Neodiprion lecontei: one gene and its partner. The protein of the gene in region 2 interacts with the protein of the main gene of each other region in a pairwise test. Links are inferred from orthologs where the notes say so. Each region holds a gene or a part of one and is shown on either strand. Other genes may lie near its edges.

Evidence for each region.
Region 1: the proteins of neurogenic protein mastermind (region 2) and suppressor of hairless protein interact in a two-hybrid assay, tested with the Drosophila melanogaster proteins (6 studies listed by BioGRID). The link is inferred for Neodiprion lecontei from reciprocal best matches to the Drosophila melanogaster genes mam and Su(H).

Annotation. Positions count from the first base shown.
Region 1 is NC_060264.1:23,422,721-23,430,323, reverse strand, and holds suppressor of hairless protein, read right to left. Parts: upstream 5,622-7,603; 5' UTR 5,351-5,621; intron 5,198-5,350; exon of another isoform or gene 5,073-5,197; intron 4,858-5,072; exon of another isoform or gene 4,717-4,857; intron 4,426-4,716; exon of another isoform or gene 4,112-4,425; intron 4,026-4,111; exon of another isoform or gene 3,507-4,025; intron 3,424-3,506; 5' UTR 3,302-3,423; coding exon 2,552-3,301; intron 2,465-2,551; coding exon 1,694-2,464; 3' UTR 675-1,693; downstream 1-674. Other genes in the region: DNA excision repair protein ERCC-5, read left to right, coding at 5,841-5,928, 6,041-6,216, 6,513-6,956, 7,036-7,255, 7,319-7,603. UniProt on the Drosophila melanogaster protein: Transcriptional regulator that plays a central role in Notch signaling, a signaling pathway involved in cell-cell communication that regulates a broad spectrum of cell-fate determinations.
Region 2 is NC_060265.1:1,240,981-1,246,089, reverse strand, and holds the start of neurogenic protein mastermind, read right to left. Parts: upstream 3,186-5,109; 5' UTR 1,247-3,185; coding exon 755-1,246; intron 1-754.

The DNA of each region.
Region 1 (7,603 bases), on a different chromosome or scaffold from region 2:
TACAACATGGAAAGGAAAACGAGAAAATATGAAAAGCAGCTGATTAGGGCAAGCAGTCATACTTCCCATCCAAGTCTTCCCCTTGGAGCATATACAATGCTCTAAGGTTTTCCCATACGAATTGTATCCGTCCAGTCTCGGGTTATTATACATAAATAAATAAATACATACATATATATGTGTGCGTGTGTGTGTGTGTGTATAGAGAGCGAGAGAGAGAGACAGAGAGAATTATGCACAATTATGTATACACTAGGAGGATGTAATTATTGTAAGCTCGGATTTAACCGTGTTGCGAATAAGAAAGATAAACGTGCCTCACTGCTGTTGTCGAGTACCCGACACTGTGAGGCAACGAGAATGTTAATTGTGGGTAAATTCCCATGGGATGCCACATTTCCATTCCTTGCTAACAATAGAGCATATCACATGGAGACAGGCAGATTCGAGTCGATCTTATCTCGTTTCCTCACCAGTAATATACAATACATACCTGTTCAAAAAACGGAAATATGCCTTGAGAAAAATTTAAAAAACTCCAATATGTATATACTATACATACAGGAAATCTTGCAACCTAAAGTGTTGTGGAAATTCGCGGAGGTGTCGGTACGTACATATATATGTACATAGATACATATACATTCAATCATAAACTGCGATATACTGAAATATTATCTGTATTCATCATTGTATTATTGTTATAAATGGTGCTGTTCCATTATGCAAACACATGTTATATGCATTATGTATATCTACAATTATAACTTGAAAATAGAAAGAAGTATTCTAATTGGATATTTTTTCTCAATATCTTTTGAAGACGTAAAAAATAATTGAAACAAGGCGTGTCCCACTTCATACCACGTGTATATACTAATGGACCCTTGAGGTATTTTTATACAAGTATTTTCTCGGCCAGGATTCAGATTTCTGCATATTATTTCTGTATATCGTACATATTACATCTACACGGTATATTACGAAAAGGGTAATTGCATATGTATCGCTTTTCGATTCGTGTGTAGAAGAAATAACAGATATTCACATTTTTAGCTAAAAGATTATAAATATGGTAAGAAAAATATTACAAAATGTCTTCTTGGTATTATTTCTTGTACATACGAGTTTGTTACTCCACACGCTTACGAGGAGCCATAATCAGGGTGGCAATAAATGACCGGGTGATATTAAATTCCTGGACTTTTCTAGATTAAGAAAGTTCTCCAATGATTCCTGGTTTTTCCGGCCTGTTACGGCCCATTGCTTCAATGGCAGGGGGGACTTATTAGAAATAATAGTTTTCATACAATGCAGATTCTAGAATTACTCATAGAAAATCAGATCGAGTATAAGGGAGAACAATGAAGCTGAAGATGAGGATAAAGTTTATTCACCGTTTCTATATTTTTTTTCTTCCCTTCATAACTGTTGTTCCCTCTTTTTCTATATCTTTTTTACGAACAGCAGCACTGTACTTAGTGACCAGATTCATACAAATTTTGTAGATGATAAGCATTTTTACAATTCGGCATCACCTAAAATTGTCGCTGCACATGTCACACTCATCTCCCTAAGTCTCGTCAGCTTGCCGCAAAAAACTTTCACCACTAGAGCTATTCTCACCGTCACTGTCACTGTAGCTGTCATTAGAAGCCGATCCACTGCTCAGATTCTGGCAGTGCGCGATACATCAGAGTCCCGACTGAGGCTGCTGATGGTGAATATTCCAAGGAACATCGGCAATCGCAGGGGGCAGACTCGGATCATGCATGGACCTCGGCGCTCTCATTATCTCGTCAGCAGGAGGACAGTGTGGCCGTGGCCCAGGTTCAGGGGTATAAGTGAACGTCAGTCCCGTCGCATAAATAATCCCGTCATTCCTGACTAGCGAAACTGGGACTTGTGTGGGCTGCCTAACCCAGAGCCATTCCCCCCTGAACAAAGAAATGTCTGGAACAACGCACAGCATGCTCTCTTGACACCTATACATCGTCTCGGCCTCAACATCGCCAAACCACACTTGTAAATTTGGTGTAAAATTATCCCCGGTTAGTTCGAGCATCGCTACGTCGCCACCACCATTCAAGTGCAGGCTGTGAACCAGGGGGACTGGAGTTACGGGAGAACGGACAGGCCCCATTCCCTCGAAAAACTGATACTCTGCTTTGTCTGTACTTATGATGGTCCAGCAGGCGCCATCATTGATCATCTCCTTGTTGGCTTCTTTGGGGCACGGCGTTGCCTGAAACTGTATTATTCTCTCCTGGGACAGACAGAGGTACATGTGATCTGTGTCTTTCATATAGAAGGCGCACTTGTGCAACTGGGAAACTGGGTCATCTGCTTCTAAACTTGCCATCTGCTTGTCTACCTTCCTGATTATCAGACGTGGCAAGGCCATGCCTGTTACCGAGCAAACCAGCTTTACTGTACTTCCGTAGTGAACATACCCATCTCGAACCTGCAAATCTCACAATATACCATGATAGATCTTGCATGACATTGTGCATGGTGTAAAATTAATCTCACAGGATAGAAGATAGCATACCTGAAACTCTTCAGACTCGCTTTCATTATCATCGAGCAGATGTATAGTGAAGGCACCCCACTGGGTTGAGCTGGCGTGAAAATTGCCGTTCTCGACATGGAGGTATCTGGTGCTGACAGTCTGGGACCTGAGGCGATTAAACAGGGCGACTCTGGTGCCACTGGCAATGCATAGATCGGCATTCTTGAGGGATTGCTTCTTCTTTGACGGCTTCGATATCACCTTTATCCTCTTGCTGTGAAATACACCTATGTCATGTCCGCTACCATAAAACATCTTAACCGACAGCATAAAATGTTTTCGCTTGTCAGAGTCTGATATGTACAAAGTCTTAGCAGCGCAATACTGCTTCCCGTTGTTGAGGTCCAGCTGCTGCATGTCCTGGTCTGAGTTGCCAATCCCGATGAAGGCGCACAGCTGTGCCGACTGTTCGGACTCCCCCTCGCGTAGCATTTGTTCTTGGCGCATCCTCCACCCATCCCCAAAGAGGTATATGCATGGTGGAGGACAGAAGAACCGCTTCTCATTGCCATACGACTTCTGTGCCACCTTGGCATGCAGGATCACTATCACCATGTCACTTCGATCGCGGAGGTAGCGCTCCATCGCTTCACGCGTCAGCCGCTGGTCTGTATCAGATCTGTACACTCCGGAGGAGGCAAATCTAGGATAGGATGACGACACAGCTGACGGAGATGGAGGGGACTGCATGCCGTGCGCCATTGCAGGCAGCCCAAACTGATGCGGCATATTTACACTCGTTACTATCTAGGCAGGAAACCAATTTCTGAGCACCACTTTTTAGAGCACCAGTTACATCTTCGCACGTGTGGATATGATCCCTGCCACTTGCCCGCAGGTCAGCTCTTCATCTGGAAAACAATACGTGTTACAGACACAGATACAGCTGCTTATTCTATATTTTTCTGATTTTTTTTGTACGATTTAAACCTACATAATCTCACTTTTTAAAAACGTACTATGTTAAAAGGCAAAACGCGCGTATCACACGCGGTAGCAACCATCGCTCGGCGATACCCAGCTGATATCAAACCCGGCGAATGAAAGCATCTGAATTAAATCACAGAAATTACATGCGTGCAGATAAACGAATTTTCACGCGCGACGGTTAATTGTTGTCAAACAATCCGAGGCACTGCCAGCTTTTCTCGCTTTAGCCTAGATGGAGCGGGTTTAGCTACGTTTGCTCTACTGGCCCTAACGAGCACGCTGTCGGTAATGACAACGCAATATTTTTAATTATTTCTACTCTCAAGCGTACTTGCAAATTTAATGTTGAATTTAACATTTATCATCCAAACATCGCAAAGTAGTAAAGAAACAGGATTGCTCGGAAAAAACATGCTTTCACTTGTACCAAATATACACGTGAATGCATATATCACTCCGCACGTATACTATACCTATGCATTTACGTATTTACGAGCGTACTCATATACGAGACGTTTGTTTACTAATATATTGCACCGAATTACCGCGAGGTTACGATAGGTTGCATTGCAGACAGGGTGAAAACGTACGGGTAACAAACAGGCCTACCTCATTTCCCACTGCTGCGAACGGCTTTATCCATGTCCAGCCGTGGTTCGTCAGTTCTTTCGATTTGGTAACTACGAGGGTGAGAAATGTTTTCGGTAGAGACGCCCGTTTCGGCATCCATACCTCGTTTCGTTAGCTATTACTATTTCGGAAGCATTGTGGCGGTCCCGAGAATAACTGACTGCAATACACTGTACACAACTGTAGCCTACCTGCCTGCCTGTCTTTTCCTAACAATTAATCCATTCAAAAAACACCTGTTCACTTTACGAATTTTCCGACAGTTCTGCCAACGCTCGCGCAAACTCACCGCACCATCCGACGTCAATTGGCCCTACGAGCGTATCTATGAGCTATGCATGTATCACATACGTATGTACTACACACATGCGTCGCCGGTTCTACGGTGAAGAAAACTGCTACGAGACACTCCGACCCGAAGAACTTTTGACAGAGAACAATTACTCACAAGGGGACGGCGAGTGTTGCGCTGAACGGCAATTAAAAACGGAGTTCGCGAGACTCGCCGCCGTCACCCCGCGGCAGCGACGATAGATTTTATTAGTTAAAAGTGGTCCGAGCCGTGTGTAACATTTTATCACATGTATGCTACATACATACGGACGTGTGTATGCCTGGACAATGATGGTTCAATGTCAGAGTCTGGGATGGAACTAAACAATCCCCCGCGACGGCGTAGAGTTATTATTCCATCGTAAGTGGCTGAAGTTTCTATTGTTTTACTGTTCTACAATGCCCCGGTCTGGCCTGGGCACTCGTCTCCCACTCTACTCCGACCCCGCCGGCCCCACTTCCCAGCTACAACGCCTGGAATTGCTGCCGCAAAAGGATGTTGGGGTTACCCTCGAGGGCGTGGGAAAAACCTGCTGTGGGAAAGAGTGGGTGGGTGGCCTCAACTCCCTCACTCACCCCACTCCGGTCCGCTCCATTCCACTTCTAACTGCGTGGTTATGATGACCACGATTCACGCACACGCGTGTCGATGTACATCCGTATGTACAGTATTTACCGTGTGACGTGTGTATGCATACAACGCGCTCCATCTTGCTCGCTTGATGCTACCATGTAAGATATAACACGCTGTTCGACTCGGGTAAACCTGACTATGAATTCGTTGACAAATCGTAATACATAAAACGATAATTACGCCACATACTTCCATTATTCATATGAATACTTAGTAGTTATGATACATACAAATTTGCCTATACTGTGTACCTGTAACATGCGATGCTTGCGTGTAGGCCTGCATTTGTCGGATAATCGCTTCATCGTTTCTTCCGAATGGTCTGTATGTATCCTCCCCAGCTTTTAAATATGTACCGGGTGATATGCATTCATCTATAAAGACATCGGATTCAATCTTTAGTTTCCTTCCATTCAATGTCTCTACTTCTTTGCGCACCGCGTCGTGGCGACATAGACTACTGGGGTGGTATGTTTGCACATGAGCTACATTTTTTTAACCGCGAATAATTTTACGTAGTACGCACAGCGACGATCAGCAAAGATGCGTCTCGTCCCTGTCGTTTCGGTGAGTAACGTCAATCGTGAATAACGACCATAACATCCGTGTCAGTACCATCAATAATTGAGGTTATGTTATACTAAAACCGCGAAAGCAATAACTTACAACTGATGTAAATGTTTCCGACAAGTGTTATATGAAATTTGTTTCCTCAGAATTAATGATATATAATTATTCACCATGGGCGTTCATGGTCTGTGGCGACTGCTGGATGCTGCTGGAAAACCAGTGGCTTTAGAAACACTGGAGGGAAAAGTCCTCGCCGTCGGTATCCTTTCAATACCCATTATCAACCAAACTCGATCATTGGTTACCTCAATGGCAATGATACTCATATACCCACGTCTGCATTCTACATTTATCTTAACTTAAACCTTCAGATGTTTCCATTTGGTTGCATCAAGTGATGCAAGGATATCAGGATGGGCACGGAAGTCCTCTGCCCAATGCTCATCTTCTTGGGTTATTCAATCGAATATGTAAATTACTGTATTATAAGATCAAACCTGTGTTTGTATTTGATGGCGGCGTACCTCTGCTCAAGAAGAACACGATTGTAAGTTTCGTCAGGAATAGATGGTGCAGATTTTCATGTTTGTTGAGTAAATATAGCTACACATAGGACACCTTGTCTTCTACTTTTGGTATGGCAAAATTAAAGTTTCAAACTTCTATTTTGTATGTCCTAAAACGAATATAACATACAAGCGTTCACATGCTATATCATATGCAGAATATAGTTTGTTATCTTGATTTTAATGCAAGTATGTAAAAATGCAATTAGGCTAAGCGTGGGAATAAGGTAGTGAGAGAACGGAGTTAATTATTCTATTGTCTTATCCCCCTGTCCAGGCTTCTCGCAGAAAGCAGAAATCTATGGCATCTAGTAAGGCGCAAAAAATGAAGAACGACTTGATAAATAATTTGCTTAAACGTACGGTAGTCAAGGGAGCCCTGGGTGCTGGAAGTGCTGAGAAGCAGGAAGAAAAGGGGGAAACCAGTGAGAAAGTCGATCGATCCTCTGTACATTCGTCTCTGAATTTATTCAAGCTACCCGTCATTCCCAGTAGCAGCGAGTTTGTTTCGGAGAACGAAGATGATCCGGAGACAGAAACCGAATCATCTGTTCAACTTAGTCCGAGGAAACAAGCCAAATGGAAAGGAAATATCCACAGTGTTGATGTCAGCAGCACAGAGTTTAGGGCATTGCCACCGGATGTCCGTCACGACATACTAACCGATCTAAAGGCGTCGAGGAAGGAAAACTCTTGGGGATGTCTTCATGAAATGCCTGAGGTTTGCTTTGCTCTTGACTATATAAATGAAATATTTAAAGGTAGGGATGATTTTATGAATGATTGAAAAATCTTTTCAGGATACTCACGATTTTTCAAACTACCAAATGAAGCGTTTGCTTAAGCGGAGAAATGTTCAGGAATGTTTGGAGGAAGCTGAGCGAGAGATGGGAGGCAAGACCATGACTTTGGAAGAATTGGATGTCCTTCTCACTGAACAGGGGATTGCTACAACTACAAAGATTGATAATGCGAGTCGCATTGCAGCTGACAACTTGACAAGATTTGTGTATATCAATGGTAAATATCTTACCCATATTTTTCTCATATTGAACAGTTGCTACTGTTGTTTGTGATTTTCAGGTGTGAATAAGGATGTTCTGACAGCCAAAAAACCTGACATTACCAAAGTCAGTTCATTGAGTTCAAACTCAGAGAATAACGGGATTCCGTCAGAAGACGGTAATGTGGAGATAATTGAAAATTTGAAGGAATACGAGCTTGACGAAGACTGGGAGAGTGACTGGGAATCTAGCGATGAGCCAGAAGTCACAGTCATGAAATCGAAAAAATTAAAAAAGCTGATGAAATCCAGCGACGTCAATCCTGCGATGATGTATATGCTGGAACATAGCGGCCTAAGTCAAG
Region 2 (5,109 bases):
ATCCGTGTCCAAGATCGTCCGTACAGGTGCATTACAGTCATGCACCATGTACGGACGGACGGACGGACACGCACACCCACACAAGCTGGATCGAATGGATGGTCGAGCCGAGCGAAGGCTTCGGGCTGCGTGCATATAATAATATAATTAGACGCGATAACTGGACGGGCGGAGGGGGAGCCGGCGGCGAACAGAAACGGCGAGATCGCATCTCTCTCGCGGAGTCGTCGTCGTCGTCGTCTAGGGTATAAACGTACACCAGAGACGCGTGCGTATGTATGCACATAGATGCATGAATCATGGAGAGAGTTAAACGCGGGAATCGAATTGGAATGTCGGGTTGCTCCGGTCTAAGCTCGGATTACTGCACTGGCTGGTTGGTTGGTTGGGTCGGGCAAGCAAGACGCCCGTAGTCACCGTCGTCCTCCTCGTCCTCACCGTCGCTCGCCCGTTACATACCGTTGTTGTACTAACGACTTTCCGTACGTGCGGCTCAACTAACTCTCTATCCCTCTACCTCTCTCTCTTTCTTTTCTTCCTTACAACGGTATCACCTCGAAGAGGATTAGGGAATTCGAGACAATACGTTTGACTTGTAAGAAACGGGACAGCCGGAATGTTTATGACCGTTTTAGGTACTTGGAAAGAGAGAGAGGGAGGGAGGGAGAGAGAGAGAAGGGCTTTTATCACAATACGTACAGGGAAAGGTTTCGCATAATAAAGAAACAAACGGGAATAACAGAGGTAAACTCACCACGTGAACGCTGGCGAGTCCGACGGGGTCGTTTTGCTTCTTGTCGGTCTTCTTGGCCTGCCGTTTGGCCTTGCTCTCGAGAAATCGTTGCTTGAGCACCTGAGTGTCCTGGCTATTTTGTTCAACGAGTCCGTTGAAGCTCTGATCAAACCTGGGTATGCAGTCGGTCTGCCGCCTCCTGTAGCTTTCGATCCTCCTCCTTAGCCTGTCGAATACGGCCTGCCTCTTTGGGGTTAAGGCATCCTCCATCCCCGGCGCCTGTCCCATTTGTAATTGTTGTATCTGATTCTGGGCGATCAATTGGTTCGCGTTCAAGCCACCCGGCTGCACGATGATGCCGTTGTTGTTGTTGTTGTTGTTGAGGTTGTTGTTATTGTTGTTGTTGTTATTCTGGTGCTGCACGCTCTGCTGAGACGCGCCCACGCAGGCCGAGGCTGGCCCTGAGGGGGGGCCTTGCGGGGGCTGCCGGGGCAGGAGCCCCCCTGCCTCCATACAGCCCCCTAAGTCCAGCGCAGGGTACGCCAGCTCAATGAGAGCCTCTGCTTCTCGTCGCCCTGGCGCCGCGACGGGGTGTCTCCTCCGCCACCGCGATAATCCCCCCTCGCATCCTCCCCTTGCACCGCGAGCCGTCCTTCCACGGGCGGACAGCCGCCGCTCCGACTTTTACTTCTACCTCTACTTCTACGACGACTGTTTCCACGTCTGCGTCTACGTCTACCTCAGCCTCTGCCTCTTCCTCTTCCTCTTCTTTTTCTTCTCTCTTACTCGAGAAGGTGCCCCCGTTGGACTTGACTCGCAGATTGTCACTCGCTTCTCCCTCCTCCGCAACCTCGTACATCGGCGTACGACGCGCGATTGTTCCTATTTTTCGTCACCTCCCCTTCGCCCCCGCCTCCTTGCAACAAGGAATTTTACGTTATTATCACTCGGCGAGCGCTATACGCTCTCCTCTCGCTTTTGTCGCTTCGCTGCCGCTTCTTATCGTATCGAGAATCACGCGTGCCGCGCTCGCGCAGGCGCAGGCGCAGGTTCAACTCCGTGACGAGGAGGGTGAAGAAACACACTGCGAACGGCGACGACGGCAATGCCCTATAGCGGTGGTAGCGGTCCTCTTCCACGTGATGTAAACAAGAACCCGATGACATTCGGCGGCGTCTTCGTTACGACCGTAAACATTGTAGGGATTCGACGTGTTGTACTTCCACCTAATTGTCACTACTGTCAACTCCGCGCACTCTTACCCAACTATTGCACTTTCTTTGTTCGCCGCGCGTGTGTATGCACTACGTACGAATATCAGCGGCAGCCCTTTCTCGCCTCTCGCGCCGAAGGGTGTAAAAGAACGTCAACAAGAATAACTGTAAACAATCCGTCCCGGCGAACCGCGCCACCTTTCCCGATCCTCGACTTGTTCGACGCACGACGGGTATCGCGTGCACCGATCGCGAGTAGTCTCGCCTACTTACTCGTCGTTATACGTACGTCTCCTCGAGTGCTCTCCTACCAGCCGATCGTCGTTCGCAGCGGCAGAAGGCGACGTCGAATAACGCGCGGCTCGACGTCACAACAGGTAGTTGAGAGTGAGCGCGGCGTGTTTCAGCCGACTAGAAAGAGACGGTCGTAGGTCGTTCGGCACGAGGGGGGGGGGGCGGAGTGCGACATCCAACGGACGGGGGTAAGCGACGTGAAGAGCGAGAGAGAGAGGGGAGGGGGGGAGAGAGACGAACCGGTGTACCGCTGCTAGAGAGTCCGAGGGACGCACAACTGCCGTAGCTGCAGCCTGAAGCCAACCGCAGGAGAGACGGACACGCCGGGTTTATCCGCCGCCTCCCTCTATTTTCTCTCGTTCTCTCTCTCTCTCTCGCTCTCTCGCTCTCTCTCTCTCTCTCTCTCTCTCTCTCTGTTTGCGGGAGAGAAGGAGGGCCCGATGTTGTACTCGATAAAACGTCAAGACAGAAGAGAAGCGGACTTCTGCGATTCGGGCTAAACGCCGAACGACGACTGACGAAGGTTTCGATCGTGAACCCCGTTCGCATTTACTTCTTTCCCGTGATCGTTGCACTTTGAACGGTGGTGAGAGTTACATGTTGTTTCGAACGCGCGGCGTTTGTCACATGTTGTTTGTTTTGCTTTATCGACAGAGAGGGGGGATGAGTAACACCGAGGTTCTCGTACGCACAATGATAACACTTCACACCGTATCTTCCTTCTCCTCGTCCTCGTCCCGTAAGTCTAACCCTAACCTCACTTTTCAACTGTCACTATCCACTCTTCGTCGGGTCACAGATTCTACCGCACGGTCAGTTTACGTTAATCACGACGCGCGCGACCCCGCGATGACAACACATTCAATTCCCCCAAACGGCCGTCTCGTTTTACCCCTGTATAACGCGCGGGGCCATTACCACAACTGCGCGTGGGTACGGGAGCATATATCGTTGAAACGGCAAACCGTAATTACAACATCGCAAACAGCGACGCCTGGATCCGAAACGCCGAACTGCCGCGCCACTGCCTTTCTCGGTGGGACACGTGACCCTCGCGCCATCTTGAATTCAGGCTGCCGACTAACTGCCTCGTCGACGCTCGGGAAGAAAGCTGTCGTGGCGAGCGTGGATGGCGAGGATGTTTTGGAAAAGCGGTTGCGACCTTTAACCGAATGAAACTGAGAATGATTCGGGAGTAACCGCTCCCTTAGTTGGCGAATAGGATTCGTTTCACATCTGCGAATTCGAATGAACAGATTTACTCGCAAGATTTTAAGGTAAGGCATTTTCTTACGCTAGGGTTCTTAATACTCTCACCTATGGCGCCACAACCCGGATCGCATCGATGTATTTTGTTTTTTTGCATCGTCAACAACGTGAGAAAGAAACCGATGCAGTGAGTTAATCGAAATACATACATAACAATACGTAAAATGCGAAGCGATATGTGAATTTCTGACTTCCCGTAATTTCCCGTATCCACCAGGATGCGTGTCGACTTTCACACAAATTTGTTTCGACCTGACCCGAGAAAACAAAAGACAGAGCAATCAGGCGACTCGAAATCGGGAAGTTTTATTGTGGAAGAGGATTTGTTAGTACTTCTCACGACTTGATCAATTGATTATCAATCATGCTATCGATTACAGACCTGTTTTTACGACAAAAAGGAACCTGAAGGAGGCAACATTCGCGTTCAATCGAAGATGCCGCTGGTAGTCTTATTTTGTAGAGAGAATCTTATCTGGCCTACGGTATGCCAAAGTACACGATTCCATAGAAAACACAGATAAACGATCGGAGATATTTCGAAGAAGAAAATATGGGATACACAAATTGAGACGCAGTAAGGTAAGAAGTTACCGTGAATAAAAATTATTGGTAACAAAATAAGGAAGGGAGGGAGAGCGATTCTTTCTCCCTCCCTCCCCCCTGCCGTAATCAGGCAGAATGCAAAATATTTACCCGTGAGCTTACGAACACGGCAAGCACAAGTTTTGTTAATATTTGACATTTATTGTCAATTCTGATTGCAACGGTTGAGCTTTATTCACGGAATTAACAACAGGTAAATTCCGTGAACCAGGTAAATAAAAAAGTATTTAAATTTGACACTAATTGACGAAGTGATTATTATCTTTTCTGCTCGTTCGGATTCCCGTAGTCGTATAATTGGCTGTGAACCGGAACTTTGGTTAATACGGTTCAGTCAATAAGTTTCTTGCCGTTTGGTTTGAAAAGTTTTTCACAATTATCCCAAACCTTTTGTCACTGATGTTTTAGCCTATGTTAACGACTTTCAAATTATCATGCAGGCGTTCTGAATTTCTCTTTTCTCACAAGTTAGTTGAGCGTTCATAATTTATTATTTTTAGACTTTTTCTTTACTTCAACTTTTACTTCTCTTTGCGTGCAAGAAATCACTAAAAATGGTAGCTCTCTTCATCGTTTTTATCTATCTATTTGTGCTCACGGTGTGACAAAATTGGCAATGGTCGCAAACAGGGTTGAACTCGTTTCTATATCTCGTTTCGGTAAACTCAGAAGCAAACTTCGACGATTTCCGCTGCGAAAAATATTTTTAACTGACTATATTTTCTAAACGCCCAATTCGATCGCTAAAGTTACAAGTTGAAGTTGTTCTTATTGTAATGCACATTTCAAAAAGATTGTTATAAAAATGTGCAATGTGCTTAGAACACCGAAACTGTGCCTCATTATTGAAAAATAAATGTTGACATTTTAAACAGTCATTTCGTAAATACCTGTGAAATTTAGGTACATTTTTATCATCTTGTATCACGGAAACAACTGGTCAATCTCAATCGGTGTAATTAGAATCGGCAATAACGGTAAAATATTCGAAAA